Linked DNA regions of Ovis aries. The protein of the gene in region 5 interacts with the protein of the main gene of each other region in a pairwise test. Links are inferred from orthologs where the notes say so. Each region holds a gene or a part of one and is shown on either strand. Other genes may lie near its edges. The genes, in order: NR4A1, ZNF496, SCAND1, MEOX2, PGBD1 and ZNF446.

What was found.
Region 1: the proteins of PGBD1 (region 5) and NR4A1 interact in binary tests that used the Homo sapiens proteins (3 or more experiments, as listed by UniProt). The two-hybrid records come from large-scale screens. The link is inferred for Ovis aries from reciprocal best matches to the Homo sapiens genes PGBD1 and NR4A1.
Region 2: the proteins of PGBD1 (region 5) and ZNF496 interact in binary tests that used the Homo sapiens proteins (3 or more experiments, as listed by UniProt). The two-hybrid records come from large-scale screens. The link is inferred for Ovis aries from reciprocal best matches to the Homo sapiens genes PGBD1 and ZNF496.
Region 3: the proteins of PGBD1 (region 5) and SCAND1 interact in binary tests that used the Homo sapiens proteins (3 or more experiments, as listed by UniProt). The two-hybrid records come from large-scale screens. The link is inferred for Ovis aries from reciprocal best matches to the Homo sapiens genes PGBD1 and SCAND1.
Region 4: the proteins of PGBD1 (region 5) and MEOX2 interact in binary tests that used the Homo sapiens proteins (3 or more experiments, as listed by UniProt). The two-hybrid records come from large-scale screens. The link is inferred for Ovis aries from reciprocal best matches to the Homo sapiens genes PGBD1 and MEOX2.
Region 6: the proteins of PGBD1 (region 5) and ZNF446 interact in binary tests that used the Homo sapiens proteins (3 or more experiments, as listed by UniProt). The two-hybrid records come from large-scale screens. The link is inferred for Ovis aries from reciprocal best matches to the Homo sapiens genes PGBD1 and ZNF446.

Annotation. Positions count from the first base shown.
Region 1 is NC_056056.1:134,308,634-134,312,625, forward strand, and holds the start of NR4A1 (nuclear receptor subfamily 4immunitygroup A member 1), read right to left. Parts: upstream 2,801-3,992; 5' UTR 906-2,800; intron 1-905. UniProt on the Homo sapiens protein: Orphan nuclear receptor. Binds the NGFI-B response element (NBRE) 5'-AAAGGTCA-3'. Binds 9-cis-retinoic acid outside of its ligand-binding (NR LBD) domain.
Region 2 is NC_056058.1:38,324,988-38,328,487, forward strand, and holds part of ZNF496 (zinc finger protein 496), read right to left. Parts: intron 1,969-3,500; coding exon 1,214-1,968; 3' UTR 1-1,213. UniProt on the Homo sapiens protein: DNA-binding transcription factor that can both act as an activator and a repressor.
Region 3 is NC_056066.1:65,082,716-65,085,439, forward strand, and holds SCAND1 (SCAN domain-containing protein 1), read right to left. Parts: upstream 1,330-2,724; 5' UTR 1,273-1,329; coding exon 736-1,272; 3' UTR 501-735; downstream 1-500. UniProt on the Homo sapiens protein: May regulate transcriptional activity.
Region 4 is NC_056057.1:25,059,012-25,063,158, forward strand, and holds the start of MEOX2 (homeobox protein MOX-2), read right to left. Parts: upstream 2,801-4,147; 5' UTR 2,521-2,800; coding exon 2,007-2,520; intron 1-2,006. UniProt on the Homo sapiens protein: Mesodermal transcription factor that plays a key role in somitogenesis and somitogenesis and limb muscle differentiation. Required during limb development for normal appendicular muscle formation and for the normal regulation of myogenic genes.
Region 5 is NC_056073.1:29,458,612-29,462,111, forward strand, and holds part of PGBD1 (piggyBac transposable element-derived protein 1), read right to left. Parts: coding exon 3,441-3,500; intron 2,293-3,440; coding exon 2,136-2,292; intron 172-2,135; exon of another isoform or gene 1-171.
Region 6 is NC_056067.1:66,373,091-66,377,155, reverse strand, and holds the start of ZNF446 (zinc finger protein 446), read right to left. Parts: upstream 2,801-4,065; 5' UTR 2,117-2,800; coding exon 1,915-2,116; intron 1,511-1,914; coding exon 1,143-1,510; intron 1,068-1,142; coding exon 866-1,067; intron 594-865; coding exon 463-593; intron 1-462. UniProt on the Homo sapiens protein: May be involved in transcriptional regulation.

The DNA.
Region 1 (3,992 bases), on a different chromosome or scaffold from region 5:
AACCAGACCTGGGCTCTGTGGTCACAGCCACCAGCCCGTACTCATGTTTGGAGCCCACTTAAATTATCAGCATGCTAGTCAACCCAGCATTCAGGCCAGCCCCACGCAGCAAAGAATCTCTTCTGCATTCAAAACTCTCCAGAAGAGGCCCCACGCGTGCTCCCCCACCCCCCAGCCCTCATTCCGGGGCCACATTCCTCTCCCCACCTCCTGCCCACCCCCAGAAATCCTTTCCTGGACCTGTCCTAAACTCCTGCTGCACTCACAAGTCTCTTTTCCTCCTTTTGAAAATGATCCCAAGGATCTCTGGTTTGTCGCAAAATCACTTTCTCAGAAACTTTATGTTTCTTTCCCAGATTCAAATACTAGGCCAAGATGGAGATAAAGAAACCAATTCTTCAAAAATGCAAGGTGTGGGGGGGGGAGGCTATCAGTCTATTTTTTTCCTTCCCCCTTCCCCTCTCCTCTCCTTCCTACCCCAGGAGTTCCTTCCAAATGGGCTTTTTAAAGAAGCCACTACCCCCCACCTCCTCTTTTTCTTTTTCCAGAATTCTAACTTTTGAAATACATTTTAAAAATATTTGCCTGTGTAGGAGAAATACATTTATTTGGACAGGAAGAATAAAATTTTTTAAAAGTCTGAGTTACCACTTTTTCCATGAAGAATTCCAGCCCACAGAGGTCTCTCCCTTCTATAAATACTTTAGCACAACTTGGCTTTATTACATACTCTCCTGTTTTATAATGAAATAAAAATATATTAAAATATGTAATGCTAAAACACACATGCCCATGTCACTTGTGGTGGCTGACTGAGGTGGCTGAAGGAACATAGGTTCGAGAGGCCTGGGACTGACCCTGGTCCCCACTATTACCAACTATGTGACTTCAGGGCAATTACTTACCTTCTCTGGCCTTCCGTTTCTTCATTGGAAACACAAGGATGACAACATACCGATCTCACAGAGTTGTCATGAAGAGTGCATCTTTAATAGTACGGATAGAAAAATGCAGCAACAAGTCTGGGACTCAGTAGAAAACCTGCCATTTCCACACAAAAGAACTTGGGTTAAGGCAGGGCTGGGGACTTCATCTTCAAGCTGCACATCCAAAGTACTCACCCTGGCTTTTCCAGATAGTATGTTTATCTGGAGGCTTGAGCTGCACAGATGAGGGTGATGTCACCTCATGATGTCACGACAGATGTCCAGCAAATTTCAATCCTCTTGTCTCCTTGACCCAGTTAGCCAGTGGCCAAGCCAGGGCGACAGCCCCCATCTTCCATCTCCCAGACCAGTACTCAAATTTGTATGCACCATCTTGCTCCTTTTCTTCGTAAGTTAGGCTCTCCTCTTTCTACACAAGTTTCAGGAACTACCACAGACCACACACTGCAGACGGGAAAACTGCAGGGGAAAACTGAGGGGAGAGAAGGGCAATTCTTTGCACAGCTCAGGAGATAGGACTAGAGGGGAAAACAGACCCCATCCAGTGCTGTCCCACATAATGGGAAATTCCTAAGGGAGAAGGACAAGCTCTTGCCACAGAAAGCTGGGGAGGCAGGACACAAGACAGCTCCCTGCCAGAAGAGAATATGGGCACAGCGTGAAGGGACAGACAGGACCAGGTAAGGCAGAGAGAAGGAAGAGTATTCCATAGAGGACAAAGATTGATCACAAAGTTCACAGGTATGGGGTGGGGACAGGGTAGAGATCTTGGGGGCATAAAGCCCCAGGACTCAGGACAGTCAAACCCTTAGTGGTGTTCCCCATATGCCCTTCCATCTCAAAAGTAGCAGAACCCAGTAACCCAACTCTGCCCAGTCAGACAGACACCATTCCACCTTACCTCCACCCTGACCCACTGGGGGTGGGGGTAAAAGGATGTCCAGGGGGTGCCCCAGACCATTTGGGCCCTGAAGGGGCTCCCCTGTCCAGGTCCCAGCCCTCAATGAGGAGAGGGGCTGTGGAGGGGATTCCCTTCGTGGTTCCCTTCCTCACTCTGAGGATGGAGAAATACCAGGCCGGGGTCCCCCCACCCCTTCCCCACGTTTAGGAGCAATTAAAGGGCAAAAAATGGGGACACAAAGACCAGGCCTTTCAGGGGCTGTCCCAGGGATCATGGCTTTCCACGGGTGACCTAGATGGGAGTACATGCTCTGAACGACATAAGGAGGAGGAGGTGCCCTGCTGGGTGCTTTTAAAAGTGTCTCCACATTTGCTCTTCCCTAGTTGCCATGGAAGGCCGTCAGGGCCAACAGGAAACAGTGGCCAAAGTCACCAGGCTGGAAGTGACAGAGCTGGAATTAATACCAAGATTTCCCCTAAATCCAAGCCAGGCTCTTTATTATTAAAAACAAACAAATCCTCTGTAACTTATTTTTTAAATTACAAAATCAAACAAGCTCGTTGTAAACAAATGCAAAACGTTACAAAACTGCGTGATGATTTACGAAGTGAGAGACCGGTAATCTATTCCCAGAGGAGTCGAGTTTGGTAATCCTCTGCTGCCTGCTTCCAGATTTCTCTCCACGTTGCCAGAGATCAGATCTGGCCCAGCAGGCCCTCCCAGAGGGGCCGGGACCGGAACGCCGGGCCGGGACCGGAACGCCAGGCCCGAAGGAATAGGGCCGGGCTCCGCTGCAGCGTTGCGGCCTCGGCTGTGCCCCACGCCGTGTTCCCGGGGGCGGCCGTAATGCCCCGCGCCAGGCCGGGTTGGGTCGGGTGGGGCCCGGGGAAGCCGCTACGTCACCAAGCGGACCGGAGGGAGTCCGCGCCGGGTCCAGCCAGGATTCCATTACATCACCCCGCAGCGCGGACCCGCCGCTGGGTAAACACCGCTGCAAACCATTGGCTACCGTGCCGCCCTTCCAACCAATAGCACGAGCGCATGCAAATCAGCCATTGGGCGTTCACTGCCTTTGGGTCTGATGTATGCAAATAGACTTCTTTGCCAGGATGGCGCAGGGCGGCGGGCGTAGGGGGCGGGTGCCTCCAGGCTGAGAAAAAAGAGTGGCCCCGAAATCCGAAATCCGTAGCGGAACTGGTTGGGGACTTTCCATCTCAAATATGGTCCGGCCATTCCTGTGGGGACTAGAGGGTAATTAAGGATAAACGCCTATAATTCTTGAGCTATCTTTCCAGTTAGTCCTTGCTTCTCGGAGGTCAGTGAACCTAAGCAATGATGCAAACGTTAGTTAGGTCAAGTTGGAAAGAGGGAAGAAATAAATACAGAGATACAGAGAAAACTGAACCGTACTGTGGTGAATATCGGGGACGACTCTCCCGCTGGGGACACAAAGCAAAGAACAAAACAGACACAGTCCCTGTCTCTGCGCCTTCTTACAACCCAGGCTGCCATTAAAACATCTTGCCAATAAGTAATAAGCGCCCTAAAGAGAAAACGAGTTGCAGGATGTCAATGACACATTTAATGAAGAGCTGCAATTTAGAAGTGGAATGGTGGATAAGGAAAGTAATTTTTTTCCTTCCTCAGGAAGTAAAGTTTTCAGCTGAGGAGTATTTATGAGGTGAGGAGGCAGGGGAAGGGCCAAGTGTTCCACGGAGAGGAAACAGTACGTGGTAAAGCTCGGAGGTGAGCAAGAGCATTGTGGAGGGCCACGTGCCAGACACTTTCCTTGTTTTGTCTCTTCCTGCCGTTCAACAGCACTCTTAGTTGGGTCCTGTTTAGTATTGAGGGAACTGAGGCTCCAAGAAGCTAAATAACGTGCCTAACGGCACACAGCTGAGAAATCACAGAACATGGTTTGTATCCAGGTTGGTGTGGCCTAAGGTCTCTGCAGTGAACCGCTGATTGTGCCCTCCTGGTTTAGAATCTGAAAGGTCAGGGAGGTGAAGTGATTTGTTCTGCACTTCATGGCTGACAACAGAGCTCCGATCCCCAGAGAGGTCTGCAGATTTTTCACTGTGCTGTGAAGGAAGATGGGGTTCCAGAATGAGGAGTTGGGTGGGGGAGAGAAAAGATCTTCCCTG
Region 2 (3,500 bases), on a different chromosome or scaffold from region 5:
GGGTGATGCTTCGACAAGACAAAGAGCATCAACAACTGTTAGCAATCACTGAAGCTAAAGGAGAGGCAAGGAACAGATCCTTCCTTTACAAGAATCCAACCTTTCTGACACCTTGATCTTGGACTCCAGGCCTCCAGAATTGAGACGATGAATTTCTGTTGTTCTGAGCCACTCAGCTTTTGGTACTTTGATACAGCAGCCTTAAGGAATTAATACAACTGGCACACGAAGTTAATATATATATAGAATGACTTCACCAAAAGTTCTGTTTCTACTGCTCAGCTCATCCAGACAAAATAACTTCTCATTCATGGGACCTGAGCTCTCCTTTACGGGACCTGAGTGAGCTCTCCTTTCCTAGACATGACACAATGGGGAAGGGAAAGTTAAGCGCCTTTCAAATGATGATGCTGTCACTTCTATCCCACAACCAAGTATACCAAGGACCTTCAGGGTACAAAGAAAGGACACTTTCTTTGTAGTGTGTGCCAACAAACAAATTAAAATGTGGCTTTTAACGTGGGCTTTGCCTTGAATGAGCTCACAATTCCCAATAACCAGTCACCACCATGAAAGAAAGATTTCCCTTTGGCAAGCTATAAAGTCCCCCACAAAGGCTTCTGAGCCTGGAAGGGCCATCTGATCATTCTGAGGTGTTCTTATGGACCAGATGGTGCCTGGGACACAGACTTCTGATGACGTGACATGGCTTGGTGTGCTTGGCCCTGCTGCCCTTGTGCCCACAGGTCCAGCCCCACCTTATTATCTTCCTCCTAACCCATCACCCCACCGGCAGCTTCCTGCTGTCAGGTAGGCAGAAATTACCTCCAGACCGCAGGATAGGGTAGGAATTCAGACGGGGCTGGAAGGGAGTGCACTGCAAGCTGGCAAGGGACAGACCCCTCAAAGGTTTCCTGTGGTAGGGGGTACCCCAGTCCCTCTACCATGTGGGAAGCACTGAACAGGGTTCTCTTAGACCCGAAACACCGGGCAAGTCAAAGCTGGTGCTGACACACTCTCTTAGCTTTCGGCACAGCAGAGACAGAGCAAATACTTAACTGGCCACTATCTCGTTTCTACCTGAGAGTTAAAGGTCAGGAGGACGTGGTCTCTGTCCTGGGGAGGAGTCTGAAACCGGTCAGTACCAAGCACAAGTGGGATACACTCTACCCACGCTGGAGCTGCACGCAAAAATGTGTGTTAAGCCCCCGACTCAGTAGGAGTTCAGAGCCTGCTTGGACCGGCGTTTCATGTGCAGGCGCTGGTGGCGGAGGAGGTCAGAGTTCTGGGAAAAGCTTTTGACGCAGTACCTGCACTGAAAGGGCCGGGACTTGTCCATGTGAATGTTACTGCGGTGCCGGGCCAGGTGCTCAGGCCGCTGGAACACCTTCCCGCAGTCACAGCACTGGTAGCGCAGCTTGGCCTTGCCCTTTGTCAGTGGGTCGTCAGAATCCCCACCCATGGTCCCTGACGCCTCCTGTTCTTTCTTCTTCACTAACTCGAGTCCGTCTGGCTGCAAGTGTATCCGCCTGTGTGAGAGCAGGTGGGAGTTGAGGCGGAAGCTCTTCCCACAAGCACCGCACCTAAAAGGTTTCTGAACCTCGTGGGTCTCCAGGTGCCCGTCTAGGTCCTCGCTGTCACTGAACAGCTCCCCGCACACCGAGCACTCGTGTGGCTTCTCCTGCTCCCTGCGGCTCCGCAGGTGTCGGATGAAGTTGACCCTCCAGCGGAAGATTTTGCCACAGTTAGGGCACACGTAGGACTTTTTAGAGGTCTGCACCTCACCCGCTGCCTCAATGCCACTCCGGTGGGAGATGGGGAGGCTGTGCTGCTTCTCTGTGGGGCTCCGTGGCTCGTCTGTGCAGTAGGGGCCGAGCTGGGAGTCCTCATCTCCGGAGCTGGAGAGCACAATCTCGATCGTCACCTCCTCATCCAGGCTATTCTCGGGGAATGGTGCATCACCTCCCACTACCAGAAAGCAACAAGGTGGTCAGTGATGCTGCCCAGGCCACATCTGAGCCCCTGCAAACCCTACCCAAGAAGGTCCAGAAACCCACATTTCTGTAAGGAATCTTCCCCTGCAGGTATCTCTGTGGTATGTCTTGTGAGAAGGAATCCCTTGGCACAGGCCACACTGCTAACCATTCTGCATACCTCTTTCTTCTCTCACTTCCCTACCTTTTCCTCCTAAATCCCCAGACCCAGTCCTTTTATTCATTTCTTTTCTAGCCACTGAGATCCCTCCAAGCTCTAAGACTTTGTATCTATCTGTGTAAACCTTGACCATTTACACATCATTTAACTCTGCCTCTCTTAATGAGACAAGGGAAAAATTGTCAGGGTGCATTAAGAGCCTTGAGACAGAGAAGGGTCCTATATTCTATAAACAGTGACAGGAGGCTGCCAGCTACCATATACTAGGCACTTAAATTCCCTAGGGGCTGTACAAGACTTCTGACATGCACAAGGCCATCTGATCCTGGACACAAGCCAATAATGTACTACTTGCCATTATAAACATAGGCAAACTTAGGTCACGTGCTTAACGGCTCAGGCCTAGTGATATTGAGCCCTGCTGTGATGGTAGGGCTGTTCAAAGGCTCCAGATTACTCAAGGTCATCTCTTCCTCTCAGTATCATATCAGAGGCCAACCAACAGCCACTAATGGTAATGCATAAAGATGCACTGGACTTTATAAAGTAACTGAAGCTGGCTCAATGGATCTTGAGTCTGTGATGTTGGAAAGATGTACTGTGGGGAGGAGTTGGGTGGGCAGTGGGGACCCTGATATAAGGTCCTTGCCTGCAGCCCAGAGACCACTACACGGCTCTCCTTACAGTTGTTTCCTCATTTTTTTGAAATGAGGGGCTCAGGTCTAAAACAGGGCTGGGGAATAGTGGTGCCAGGTCCTTTGAGACAATAATAGGAATATGGTTATTCTGGACTTAACTGCTAGAAGGAGGAGAGTTGTGGCAGCTTAGGGAAGTGAGAGCAGGTGAAACTGGACAGAACATAGCAGGAAGACCCAATACCATAGCAAGCAGGAGAGACACTGGGCAGTGGAAGAGTCTATGCGGGTATTTACCCATACATCAGAGCACAAGTGTGAGGGGACTGGGTACAATGTGAAATGGGGGAGTGGGAAGGGACTTGAAGATTTAGAAAATTTTCAGTCTATCTATCCTGCAAAAAATGAGAAAGTATGTTCTGGAGAGAATACCAAGCGTGTGGCAGGACAACCACAGATCCTATTGACCATCTAAGAAGCCAAGAGTGGAGATGAGATAATCCAGAAACAGTCTGTAGAGGACCATCTTGTCTGATGGCCTGGACCCTTGTAAATTTCATGGGCAGCCAACAGTGTTTCTGAGAATATCCATCTTAGAATAAAAAGGAAAGAGGATGAAATAAAGGAAGGCTTTCATTTCAGACAGTCCATGGGGTCAAAGAGTTGGACAAGACTGAACAACTAACACTACTATCTCTATCAAACTTCTAA
Region 3 (2,724 bases), on a different chromosome or scaffold from region 5:
TGTTCCGGAAATCTTTCAAGAGGCCTAAAATTTGTTAAGAGAGGGGTCTGGAGGCTTAAACCAGAGTTCACAAGAACTAGCCTCTCTAGGTAAGGACCTGCAGTGAACACTTACCAAAACAGCCCTGTAACTTGGGCCTTTGGGGAAGCCTGCACCCACGAGGTAGGCTGATGGAGCAAGTTGAGGACAGTATTGTTATAGCAGCAGCCAGTTAAATCAGCACTTAGTTACAGTCACCTATTTGCCTGCACGACCCACAACCACATACAAGATTGTACCACTGTTCTCTATCCGCTGAGACAGGAAAACAAGCTCAAATTCTAGCCAATGAAAGGTACGAGCGAATTTGAAACCAGGCTGCTGGAGTCCTCATTGCATAGGCTCCAACCAAACAAAGGAAACCCACGTGGGGCGCTGGGGAACGCGCAGGAAAAAAATTTCCAGATGTGGAAACCCATAGCCAACACATAATGATCCCACAAAAGCCAACGAAGGCCAAGTGAATAAGAAACAAAGGCTTTATTCTCATGGGCCCCCAACTTGGTTTCACAACTAGCCAGAACGGGTGGAAATAGGTTCGGGAAAATAAACACGGGAAAGGACGCATGAGATTGCAAGAACTGCCAAAACTCATTTTTCATTATCGCGTATTGGGGAGCCAAGCTCACGGTCCCGGACTCGATCATGGCTCCAGTCCAGAGAGTGCCTGACTCGGGTCGCCCGCAGCTCCGCCGCTCAGCCGGTGATGCGCACGTCGGTGCGGCGGCGAAGCCGCCGGGCCCGCGCCGCCTCGGGCAGGATGGCGAGAAGCTGCTCCTGCACTAGCATCTCCACGATCTGCTCCTTTGTGCGGATGTCGGGCCGCAGCCACTGGCGCGAGAGCTCCCGAAGCTGTCGGAACGCCTCCCGTGGGCCTGCAGCGTCTTGGTAGCGGAACTGCCGGAATCGCTGGCGGAAAGTCTCTGGGCCGGGCCGGGAGCCGCCAGGACCTGGAGGGGAGCGCGGAGAGGCTTCGGCAAGCGGCGCAGGGCCCTGGGGTGCGGGTCCGACAGGCAGGTCTAGGGCGGCGGAGGCCGCCGCAGGAGGCGTAACATTCGCTTCGGGGACCGCGGCGCTGGGATTGGAGGAGTTGGGGATAGATGGTGGGGCTTCAGGAGTCGAGGAGGAGCCCGCAGGGTCACCCTCCGTGCCTGAGCTCGGGCCGGCTCCTTCTTTCCCCGAGGATGGCGCGGGGCTTCCGGCTGGAGCCAAGCTTTGCTCGGGGGCCGCCATGACTCCGGCTCCCCGCGTCGCTCTTTGTCCAGCCGTTGTTGGCTCAGCTCTGCGTCTGCAAGGGGGCGGGGCAAAGGAGACTTTTCCCCTACAGGGCGGAGCGCGCGACCCTGAGGGAGGCGGGCGGAGGGCGCGCCGAGCTTACCAGCGCCGGCGAAGCGCCTGGGGCGGCCGGAAGTGGGCGTGCCCGCTGGCTTCTCTATGGGAAGTGGGCGTGCCCGCTGGCTTCTCTATGATGAGCTCTGCGCACGAGAGTCCGGAAGCCGGGTCTGGGCTCCCAGAAGCGGCGCCCCCTCGCGTTCCCACGTGGGGTCTGGAGGTGGCGGCGCCTGCGGGGCTGCAGACCAATCTTAGCTCGCCACTGCTGGCTCCGGATGGTGGCGCCTCCGAGCACCTGTTCGAAGAGAAGGAGGAGGAGGAAGAGTCGGAGGAGGAGTCGGAGGAGGAGTCGGAGTCGGAGCCGGAGTCGGAGTCGGAGCCGGAGTCGGAGCCGGAGGAGGGGTCGGAGGAGGAGCAGGTGCCGAAGCCGCCGCCCAAGCCGCAGGCGGCTCGCAAAAGCGTCTCGGCCCGCCTTGATCGCCTCAGCTTGCAGGTGACCTGTGTCCGCCCCTGCAAGCCCGCCTCTGTTTGGCCCTGGTTAGGATGGTGGCGAGCCGAGGACTTGCGCGGGCTGGCGCCCGGCTGGTGGCGGGACAACGGGACTGTGGTCAGGCACTGGGGGAGGGCCCAGCTCGGGAAAGTTCTCTGGCTCAATCGAAAGAGAAGGACAGTACACTCACCTGGTTGCGGGTGGATGACGTGTGCAAAGTCCTCTACACATAGTAATAAAACTTGGCCGTCTTATGGCGCAGAGTAAATGCCCAAGAACTCTGTTGTTATTATTATTATTATTATTATGCCTGTCTTCTGAAACCAAGAAACAGGTGGCTCTGTGGGTTCTGCTCTTAACTTTAGGATTACTAATGCGTAGCCTCATATAGTGGACTCTAGCCACGTGTTTTCGAGCCCTTAACATGTGGCAAGTCGGAATTGGGATGTGCTGACATGTGAAATACACACAGGCCTTAGTATGAAAAGAAAGTAATGTAAAATATCTCAATAATTTTTTATATTGGTTACATGTTGGATTTATAATACTTTGCACATATTGGGTCAAATAAAATATATTGTTAAAATTCATGTCTGTCGTTTTACTTTTAAATTGTGGGTGCCAGAAAAATTTGCATTCCATATGTGGTTTTCATATATATATTCGTTGTACAGTAAAAGCATGCTACCATGTGGGAGTCAGGCTGCCTTGGTGAAATCCCTGCAGGGTTTATTTGCCAGAGTTGTTGAGAGGATTAAATAGTAAAGACTTTGGAACAAATGAAAGTTAGTCACTCAGTGGTGTCCAGCTCTTTGCGACCCCATGGACTGTAGCCTGCCAGGCTCCTCTGTCCATGGAGTTTT
Region 4 (4,147 bases), on a different chromosome or scaffold from region 5:
TTCTACCCTTGGTGATGATTAACTGTATTTCCCATTCAAGATGTAATCTATTAATATTTTATGTATCTGATGAAAACTTTTGTTTTTCCAGGACTTTAATGACTAACTTCAACATGAAAAGATAAACTTATTTTGTTATATGGTTATTTCCCACCAAAGGACGGTAGCAGTATTAATATAACCAATTTTCTTAAGAAAGTCACTATTAAAATAACTGAAGGGAGTCAGTTCTTGGATCTCACTTTCTTGATTTCTCCTTGATCAAAGTAACATAGGCCTATATGAAAATTCAGCTTGTCCTAAGAAACTTAGGTGCGTTTGTTCAGTTGAAGAAGCATATGAAACAATCCATGATATAGGTTTCTCACTGCAGAAAGTACAAGGAATAGTAAGAGCCTCTGGTAAATTGCAAAAGCGTCCCTGGCTAACCTGTACTCAGATCTAATCCCAGAAAAGTTACATTGATATCAAATGCTGATCCTATAAAAGGATGACTGCATTCTAAAAATGACTTGTTTTCTAATGAAGATGGAAGCCTTCTTGCTATATTAACTTTTTCACTCTGTCTGAAGAGTGTCTCACTTAGGGTTAGTAAAAACCATTAAAAATGAATGATACTGCTGGCAACCTTTTTGGATATCAACTATTTTGTGATGGAGCATTAGAAGTTCACCCTGACGTTGGAATGTAAACGTGAGATTCTAAGTTTGAGATAGAAGAACCCATTCCGTACTCACTGAAGAATAATTGATACCACTGCTGAAAAAGAACATGAAATATGCGGCTCAATCACTGTCATTCATGTGAAATCTAATCTAAATTATTATAAAGGATAGACATTATCCAGTCTTTCAAATCAGTACCTGGAATTATCTTCCAGGGCTCTTAAAACCAATGCCGCAAAGAAAGAAAATACGTAAATATTATATTAAATAAACAACAGCTTGCAAAAAGATGGGACGCAGGTTGCGTCGTAGCTACTGAAGAAAGCTCATACCCTCCTTATAAAGCATCTTTTAACAATTTCTTTAGGACAGAGACAGGTAAGGGCTTTGACAGTTGACTGCAAAGCTTTAGTTTCTCTGGATTGCTAAAGTTTAGTTGGCTGCGGGTGCCTTCAAGCATTCGCGTTTGGTTAAGATTCCCCTTTCGCTACGCGGTTCAAGATATCCTCGCGTAGATCAGCGCCTCCTACGCACACCCACTTGTAGCAGCGCTACCCTGGTTGCTGTTAAGTTTCCCAATCCTTGTTTCGGATAGTACTCAACTGGAGGAGGATTTTACTTTCCACTTTTGAAACTCAGATTTTCTTTTTGGTTAGCATTACATGAATACAACTACAATAAAGAATCGTCTTTCGTCAAGGGTCTGAGCGTATATTTAGTTGCCATTCTCTGACACATTCCTTAAAATCCTCTGAATTCCTAGACAATATCTTCTTCCCCCAAGAAAGAGAAATTTTACCATTTGGAATAGGGTGCTATTTAAAGAACTCTGAAATCAGAATTAAAAAAAAAAAAACTAAACTAAAACTTTTTCTCATGTGCTCTGCCAAGTTCCACTGCAAGTTCCAAATGTTGTGCAATAATTTGGAAATCCAGTTAACGATGGGAAAAATCGAGCCATTCAGAGTCGGGAAAAGTCAAGGAAAGGCACCCGCACGCACGCCCAGCGGACGCTGCATCCCAGGGTGCATTCCTCTCCCCATCGCTCAGATGGAAGGTCACGCTTCGCAATCGATTTCACATACTTGTCACTTGTCCTTTTTTTCTCAACCCTCTGGTAAACTAGTTTGAATCTTGGAGAGCTTAACGCACTTGGCTGCAGTGCTGCCCTCGGAGAAACACGTGCCCCCAAATAAAAGGACCAAAGCAGCCTCGCCGAATTTGGCGGCGAGGAGCCAGAGAGGAAAAGACCTGTCCCATAACGCCCGCCGCCTCACTCTAGTAGGAGAATCTTCCCATCTCCCCGCCCCCTTTCGCCGAGGGTGCCCGGCGCGCCCTTACCTGAGCTATCGCTTTTCCTCTTGCTGCCACTTCTCTTCTCCGCCTCCGCGGGTGACAGCGCCTGGCGGCCGTAGTCCCCTGGCGGGCACGCGGCCCCGGTCGGGGTGCTGGAGCCCAAGCTGGAAGAGTTGGAACACAGGACCGGCGGGCTGCTCCCCAGCTCCGGGGGCCCTCCCGAGTCCGGCTGGAGGCAGAGGCTGTGCCGAGCCGCGCTCGGCGGGGAGGACATCTGCGGGAGGTGCCAGTTGGTTTGCAGAGCTTGGTGCTGCTGCTGCTGGTGGTGGTGGTGGTGATGGTGGTGGTGGTGGTGGTGCCCCCTGTGATGCTGGCTGGCAAACATGCCCTCCTCGTTGGGGTATCCCGCGATTATGCAAGACGAGGAAGAAGTGGAGAGCTCGGGGTAGGACATGTGGTCAGATCTTCCATGGAGGGCGAGAGAGGATTGGGAGAACGGGTGCAAGCCTTGCGCGGTGGCGTGAGGGCTGCGCAGGCAGCCAAAGAGCGGGTGTTCCATAGCATGCAAGTCTCGGGTTCCAGGCAGAAGACTTCACGACGGTTCCAAACGCCACCACCCTCTGTCACTTTTCACTGGAAACCGTGTGACTTTTCCCCCTCCCAAAGCAATAGCCGCCCGCGTTTCGTCAGAGCTCGGATAATCCTGGTCCTGAGCCCTAGCGGCCAGTCTCCTTTACATATAAACACTCGGACCTCGAGAAGCTTCCCTCTGAGCTACTCAGATGTCAAGAGCAGGAGAGGTTGAAGCCAAAAGAAGGTGGTCCCAGAGAACTGCTTTCAGGGGGAAACGGCTCTGAGAGGTTATAAATAGAGTGTAATGTGAGCTGGGGGCTGGCTTAGGAGCCCAGTGCTGACCACATGCAAACTCCCTCCAAAACTCCCGCTCAGTTCGCGCAATGCGCTCCCAGTTCCACTTCCTATCGCCGGCTGGACGCATGCAGCGCGTCCACGCCCTCCCGCCGCTGCCAACAGCCTGGACTGCAAGCGGCAAGCCGGGCGCCTAAACCAGAGCCCCGGCGGGCAGCGGCTGCCCTTCCCGCTCCGCCGGCCGGGGCGCGCCGTGGCGCCCGCCAGCTCCAACCCCACAGCCAGTGTCCCACCTGCTCACTTCTCTCCTGAAAGGTGTCTTGTCAATGCCACTTGGGCACTGTCACCTGCAGAAAAACAGGGTGTGCCTAAATGTGGAGAAGCACGAAAGGTGGAGGATAAGGAAAAGAATCAGAGCTAGTTTGGCGCGCACTCAGATTAAGGTTTTCCAAATTCGCATCAACTCGTGTCATGGGCTCAGTGGCGTTTCTAGCTTTTTTATACAGCTGGTGTCTGTGGGTGGGTTGTTAGAGCGCTGAGACGCCAGATTCGAGGATGCAGGAAAAGTTCCCCACGGGCGAGAAAGGGCCGCAAGGAACGAGACTTGATAGGGTGGAAGAAAGCATGGGGCCGTGACGGTCGCAGACGCTCTGCTTCTGGCATCCTCACCTGCGGTCCCAGGTGGGGTCTCTTCCCCTGCTTTCCTCAAATGTCCTCCCCCACACCGCTCTCGATTTCCGGGTCCCACTTCCATTTCCTTGCCACTTGTCCGCCCAGAAAAACTTTTCCTGGATCAGGAGTATTCTAAAGCGATTTCACCCTAGTCACAAGCGATGTGTATATTGAATGTACATTTCCAGTACTCTCCCTCAGGAGCCAGCCCCCTGTCACCTCGTTTCCCTCCAGAAATCCATCTCTCTTCCGCTCAAAAAAATCAATCAGCTCATTGCACCCCTTTCACTCCCACGCCGCCATGGTTCCATTTACCAAACAAATATTACACTTTGGTATCGCTTAAAGTTCGGATCTCCCTGGTTACAATTTTGCATCCTAGAAAATGACTTAGAAAACTTGCCACCAGTGAATTAATGCGAGCGACGGCTGGGCTTTCATACTACCACATGCTTAAAGGGCGACACTGTCTGCTAGGGGCCAAGTCGTTTACACAAGGCACGCACGCTGGCCGAGCATAATGAGCTGCGGGAACAGTTGAGCCTTGCCTAGGACTTGTCGCATCAGGAGAATATCGGCGCTCACCTATCCCTCCCGGGACCCCAAATTTGCCACCAGGAGCGTCGCCGTCTTACTTTCATTGTCTC
Region 5 (3,500 bases):
ATGCTTTCCAGTGATGTACTTTCACAGACATAAAAGAAAAATCAGCAATCACAGATGAAAATAAGGAGAGGGAAGAAGAAGTTGGTGAATAAAGAAACATTAACCAGAGAACAAAGAAGAAAGGTAAGAAGTGGAGAACAGAGACAAAGCCAAGGGGCAACAGGAAAGCAGGTAAGAGAAAGATAAAAAGAGAAAATGAGGATAAAAAAAATTGAGTTGGTAATGGGGGAGGCTGGGTATGTGTGGGAGGCAGGGGGAGATGAGAAATTTCCTTTCAATTTTGCTGTGAACCTAAAATGGCTCTAAAAAGAGTCATACATGTACCCTTGAAACTAATAACACTGTAAATAAACTATACGTCAGTAAAAAAAAGTCAGACACACAGTCATACATAGAAGAGATGCTAACTGCAAACTAGGAGAACTTTTGAGAATCTGCTGCATTGGAAACCATAATCCAAACAGTGATAATGACTGTACATCACTGCACTGTTACTTGGAAAGATTCTTTCCAATTCCTTATCTGTACGGGGGGGAACACAGTCTACTTTACAGGGGCAATGAAGACTGAGATAACATAAAAGCCCTCTGTAAAGCCCTTTAAGGCCCCAATGCAAAGTAGTGCACCACTGTTTGCCAAGACAGTAACAATAGAGGGAGTCCAGAATTACTAAACGAAGTGCACAGGGGATATTCTAATCCAGAACATAGCACTACTTTTCTTTGCTTCAACAGTGAATGATTGTGGAATCTTTTTGGTGCTGTTCCTTCATACTAGAGAGAACAAAGCTTGCTAGGAAAATAAAATAGCCTAGCCCATGGTTCACTATTACTACCTAATCTCCCCACAGTGCATATATGCCAAAACCCTAGCAGCTTAAAAAGCACAGTGTGAAGCAGGTCTGCTGTCAGAGAAAGGGCTAAGCTAAGAGGGGCAGGGTGGCAACAGAAGATGGAAGAGGGGCAAAGAGACCAAGAGTACTGGGAAGTCTGAGAGCAAACGTCAGACCAGACTCTGTGGTTGCTCCTTATCATCCTCCTGAGGTGGAAAAGCTTTAGGGTTAAGCCTGGGAAGAAGGTAGAAGAATCTTTTCAAACATATATGCTCACTACACACACCACACTGATCCCACTGCTCTCTATCTCTGCCAAAGACAGAACAAGACAAAGTGGGCTTAAGTTGCCAAGAATAAGATGATACCAAGGTCTTTTCTACTTCTCCATCAACATATCTAAAATTTAACAATCTGTCTGATGCTAAGAATCCCAGCTGAGCATTAAGAGGCTAGCAAAACTCAAGTACTCAGTAGTTTTCATTTTAAACTAGTGTTCCGTGACTGGTGAGAATGAAATACAAAATACACACAAATAACAGTCACTGTAAATCATATTTTTTATGGAAAAAAAAAAAAAGGCTTCAATGGTACCCAAATATTTTTCAAGTCTGAACTTCCTGGTTTGAATTTAAACACCCCATAAAATGGCCCCAACTAACCTTCCCCTCCCCCCGCCCTCCACCTTTCCCCTAAATAAATCCTACCCTCCAGCAGGAGGGGAGGGAAGGCAGGTAGCCTGGGGAATTGTTCTTCCATTCATTTGGTCTCTGGTACCCTGGAGAAATGTGTTTGGGTTATGACTAGTAGGCACACAGGTCCTTGGCTAGAGTCTCCAGAATATCTGGGAGGGCCTACGAAGGTATAAAAAGCCCTTGCGAATGACAGGGAGTGCATCTTGAAGGAGGCCACTGAAGAAAACATTACCATGGGGAAAAAGACAAAGTTATGGAAAGCTACCAAGTAAATATTGAAATTCCAGGTGTGGAATTGGAAATGCGGAGTAGAGACATATAGTAAAGAGAATCTTGGTCAGAAGGTCAGGTGACAGCGCTGCCTCTGCTGACCCTGGGCAAGTCACTTATACTCTGAGTTTTGGTTTTCCTAACTATTAAGGGAGTTGAAAAGATCTTACATTTCTAACATTTTACAATTTCAGGTGTTTTTAAAAGCTTGCTTAGGTAAAGGGTAAGACAGAAACAAAACTTGAGAACACAGATAAATAGGCTTTCACTTAGAAGGCCACACACCTGTCAGTGGCCTGTTCCCAATGTCTTTACTAAGTTCACCCTCTGGCACTCACCACTCACTTCTTGGGCAGTCTCTTGGGGAGACTCTGGAGGCTCACTCTTCAGGGTGGTTACCCCCAACAGGAGCTGGGGGCTCTGACCCTCCGAAGAGGTTCCTTGACATTCTGTCACCAGTAGGTGCAAGTCCTGTCCTAGAGTGTAGACAGAAGCCTGCGGACAAAAGATTCACTTTGAAAAGGCATCCTGGTGGGAACTGGACTGAACAGCAGTTAGGGACATTCCCCAAGGGAACACCAGACAAGCTTCATTTAGTCCTTAAGTAGCGAGTAAGACAAAGTAGCAAGACACATTCACTCATCTGGCAAATATGGACTGAATGCCTACTAAAGCCACATTCTGTTCTACATGCTAAGCAAAGAGAGTCAATACAGGCAAAGAACCCCTGCCTAGAAAGCAAAACCAAACCCCAGATAGATGCTTATAGTGTGTGGAAGTTTAATGGGAAATAGGATATGTACACCATCTCCAAATGTCACCCACAGATTACTAATTACAAAGGGGAAAATGGTAACTTGATAGTGGAGAAATCTGACATATACCACCTTAACCTCATCAGTAACAGGATGATCCACCACCATGTGCCTCCTGAAGTGATGCCCTAGGAGACCACAATGCCACTTCTGTGGTATTCCAGCCAAAATGTACTACCTGGGTCTTATTGTGAGAAAATACAAGACAAACCCAAATTGAGGGGCATTCCAAAAAGTAACTCATCTGTACTCTTCAAAACTGTCATTATCATGACAAACACTGAATAACTGTTCCAGATCTAAGAAGACTGAAGAGACAGCAACTAAAAAATGTGAGATGAGGGAATTGGGGCAAAACTGGCATAAGGAACACTATTAGGCTATCAAGGATCCATCTGAACAAGGACTACTACTGAGGTGATAGTATCATAAAAATTTTAATTTCCCAAAACATGATAATCTATATTCCAGTTATACAAAAGAATGTCTTTCTTCTTCAGAAACACACTGAAGTGTTTAGAGATAAAAGGTATCTCCAACTAATTCCATTCTCAAATGGTTCAAGAAAAAATACTGCATAAGCTATATGGGGGTGTGTGCGTGCACACACAATACCTACGCATACAGAGAGAGGGAGCACTTGCTCACACAAGAAGGGCGGCACATTCCTGTAACAGATGTTAACATTTCATTAACGTGTGTGAATCATACACACAGTTCTCTGCACTACTCTCCCAATACAAGTTATAAATTATTTCAGAGTTAAAAATTAACAGACAAATGTTCACCATTACATCTCCCACACCACCACACACATTCTCTTCCCACCTGTTCTGAGTCTCCTGCGTCTCTCTCTAGACTCTCCAGCGCTATCAATGCATCCTCCCC
Region 6 (4,065 bases), on a different chromosome or scaffold from region 5:
GGGCTGACTGGCCTTGGATGAAGTTCCCGGGCCATTTCCTGGTAAGAGTGTCTCTATTCTGACCTCGGGTGTGCAGGGAGGCCAGACTGCTGGGTGTCACTCAGGCTTTCCTGCCACACTGGGGACCCTGTCCGCTCTGCACATGCCCATGAGGGTTCACCCCGGGTGCCGGCACAGGACTCCTGCCAACCTCCGTCTCACGTCTAAGTGCGAAGCCCACCTCTGCCAGTTCCCATCACTCTAAACCAGGTTCCCAGTTCCCTGAGACCAGAATTCTTTCCAAGCACTGTTCTGTCCCCCACGCCCTGCCAGGGGTACCCTGATACCAACTCCACTTCGCGGCAGCAGAGAGGACAAGAAGCACTCGCCAAGGAGCCTGGACAGCCGGCAGGACAGAGAGCAGCCCCTGAGGACACCCTCTTCCTGCAGCGGGGCTGCACTCGCCAACCGGGGGCTGCTCACCTGAAGCCGGGGTGGCTGGAAGGGTGCGGAGGTCGGTTCCTGTTGTTCGACGTGCTCCTTGTGGGACTGGGCTGGAGGTGGGGGGCTGGAGGATGCTAGGAAGCCAGGCAGGCAGGGGTCAGGGGCTGTCCCTGCGAGCCAGGGCAGGCAAGGAGCTGGCGTTGGTGCTGTAGCCTGGGCCCTCCTCTGGCAGCAGGAAGGCATGCTCTTTGTGTGCCAGGCACACGGCAGGCAGCCAGCCAGCCCTTCCCTCCAGCCTCCGAGGGACCCAGTCCTTGTGGGGCCCGCCTCCCACCTGGGGATGCCAGACCCACTCCAGGAGCCCCCAGTCTCCACACAACCTCTCCTGGACTCCCCCCTCACACTCTCAAGGGGCCCCAGCCCTTGTGCACCCGCACCTCACCTGTCTCCTGCACGTAGCCATCAGGCTCCTCCTTCACGCTGCATCTGAGGTGGGCACTGCCCTCCATCTGGGCACCCTTTGGCGCCTCCCCAGAGGCTTCCCTGAGGGACTCCACTGTCCCTGAGGGGTGGACACCCCCCAGCGACTCCTCTGTCTTCTGTGTGGCTGGGAGCACAGCTTGCTTCAGGACGTGCGCTGTAATCTGCGGGGGGAGGGAGGGTCATTGGGGTGCTAGGTTCACTCTGTCCCTCAGAGAAGCCACCACCACCACACTCACCCAGCCCAGCAGCTGCCCAGGGTCACGCTGTAGGTCTTCGACCAGGACAACGGCCTCCTCAGGGCTGCCTGGCTGCTGGCCCCGCACCCAGGCCTGAATCTCAGGGGGCAGCGCCCCCAGGAACTGCTCTAGCACCAGCAGGTCCAGTATCTCCTCCTTGGAGTGCGCCTCGGGCTGGAGCCACTGGCGGCACAGAAACTGCAGCCGGGCCAGGGCCACCCGGGGACCGGCCACCTCCTGGTAGCAGAAGCCCCGGAAGCGCTGGCGTGCCATCTCAGGATCCTCTGGGGTGGCCTCGGGGTCCAGAGAAGGCAGACTCGGGGGACCCAGTGAGGATGGCATTGTGAGGGGAATCTTCTTGGAGCCACCTGCAGGAAAGAGGGGTCAGAGTGCCAGCCACAAGGCCACAGCCAAGGTGAGGCAGCTGCGTGCAGACAGCCCCAGCCCAGGGGTGGTGGTGGTGCTGCTGATGTCTGGACAGAGAGGACCCTAGTGTGGGGATGCTCGACGCTGAACTGAGGAAAGTTTCGTGGAAGGAAAGGTCACAAGAGCTGGAACTAAGAGCAGAAGGAAGCCTTGGGAACCACTTGGAGTCGGATGGAGCTTCCAGGGAACAGCTAGATGATGCTGAGCGCAAGGCCAGGGGAACTACCCCAGGCTTCCAGGCTCAGGCCGAGAAGCCGAGAGTGGGGGAGCCAGGGTGAGAACAGGCTACCCGTCTCCTCCATCTCCGGGTCACGTTGATTCAACAGAAGCACCCCGAGAAGCTGACCTGCGCCACGGCCGAAGCAGGGGCCGACGTGGACCCTGAGACACCGTGATCGCTGACACCGGACAGCTGTGCGTGACTCACACCGTGTGGACCGTACTTGTGAAAGGCGGAAGCCAAGTAAACCACAGCCTAGGGCTGTATGGGGCGCTCCGCGGGCCACCGCGTCCCGGCCCTGAGGGTCCGCAGGGAGACGCGTCCACATGGGGGGGGGGGCCTCTCCGACAGGCTGGACCGGGCCCTACCCCCAAAGCTAGACTTCCACAGACGGGGGTCCTCCGCAAGGAAGGGACGGCGCCACAGACGGAGGAGGGGCCCAGATGAAGGCTCGGGGGCAGGGCGCCCCGCGCGCGTCGGGTGGCGGCGGGAGGGGCCCGCGCGCATCGGGCGGCGGCGGGAAGGGCTCGTGCGCCTAGCCCGCCGGCGCTCACCCCGCCATCCCGAGCCACTGAGGTGAGCGGCCCCGCCCCCTTCCGCGGGGTCCCCCCAACATGGGCCAGCCCCTCGAGCGTTGCCCCGGCGACGCGGCCCTGGCCAATCACGCGTCTGCTCTGAGGCCCCGCCCCTCCCGCTGCCCCATCAGCCTGCCTTTCGCGCGTTGCCTCGGCGACGCCGCCCTGGCCAATCACACGTCTGCCCCGAGGCCCCGCCCCCTCCCGTCGGACTACGTTTCCCATGAGCCTCAGCACGCGAGCAGAGGAGCGGCCTCGGAGCAGGTGCTGTTTCTCGGAGGCCTCGAAAGACTGAGGGGCGCCCCTTTCCTCCGAGTGGCATCTGCGGCGCCGCGGGCTTCGGGGGGCTCCCGCCCTGTCCCAGCCGCCGCTCTCCCTTTGCACCCGCTCCCGAAGACTCACCAACTGCAGAGATGGACGGGACCTCCGGACGTTGCGCATGAGCACAGCAGGCCGGCACCTATTGGCCGAGAGGTGAGGCAGGGCGGGGCGTGACCTCTCGGCCAATCAGGCTGGCGCTCCGCCCGGGAGCTCTCCCTGCAACTTCCTTCTGGGCGCGGGCGGTCGCCCTGGTTACCGCGGGAGCACAGCGGCCCGCCTCCCGCTATTTCCAAGGCGACCGCCGGAGCGTGGCCCTGCCCTCCCGGGCGGCCGGAAGTTTCCCAGAGACTCGCCTCTCGGGGTCCCAGGAGGAAGCAGGGGGCTGCCGGGAAGGCTAGCCTAACCCATGGGCGTTCTCCGCCTTCCCCAGGAATTTCTCCAGCGAGGATGGCACTGGGGTCCGTCATTCGACTACTACTGAGCGCCCTGCGGGTGTGTGGGGACAGCAGGCACTCATCTGCTGATGAGGAAACTGTCCCGTAATCTATATTCTCAGACTCTCAGACGTGCCTTCAGCTAGATCAGTCCTGCAAAGAAAGGGCTCTTCCACCATCTACCATGTGGGGAGAGCTGGAGCTCTAACAGCCTATTCGGGAGCTTTCCCTCAGTCATGTTTGTTTTGGGTCTACCCTTCCAGAGGGCTGCTGGTTTTCAAGCCTTCTGGATTTCTACAGCGTGAGCCTGGTGGGATCACCCTGCACGTCCGCCAGCGCCAACTCAGTATTTGGCTTTTCCCCAAATCGGTACTAGCGCCTCGATTTCCACCCGCTTCTAGCTTCCGCATGCCATTGCCTCCTCTTTCACGATCCTACTTGCGGGTTTGTATTTTATTTACTTATTGGCCACACCACGCAGAATGTGGGATCCTAGTTCCCCAACTAGGGATTGAACCCTGGGCCCCCAGCAATGGAAGCTTGATGCCAGGAGCCAGCATGAGGAACTCCGCCCATGGCAAAGGTCATGAGGAAGGAGGCTTTGGCAAGGCGGGATCGAGCCTCAGGAAACCCCCTGTTCCCGAGCATCTACCCCTCAAACCAGAGTCTGCCTACTTTACTGTTTCACACTCTCACCTATACACCTCTGACTTTACGGGGGGCTGACCCGCCATTACCTCTCTGAGAAGGAGTTAACTTACAGCTCCAAGTCAATAAAAATTCCTGGGCGTGACAAGAGTGTTTCAACTTATGAATTCCTCTGAAGGTTATCTAGCCTGCCTGTACAGTTTCGTCTGGCCACATGTAATTGTTTACAGCCTCCCAATCGTGGAGGCACGAGATGTTTTAGACTTTCTAAAGGCAGATCTTTGGGGAAGTTAGAAATT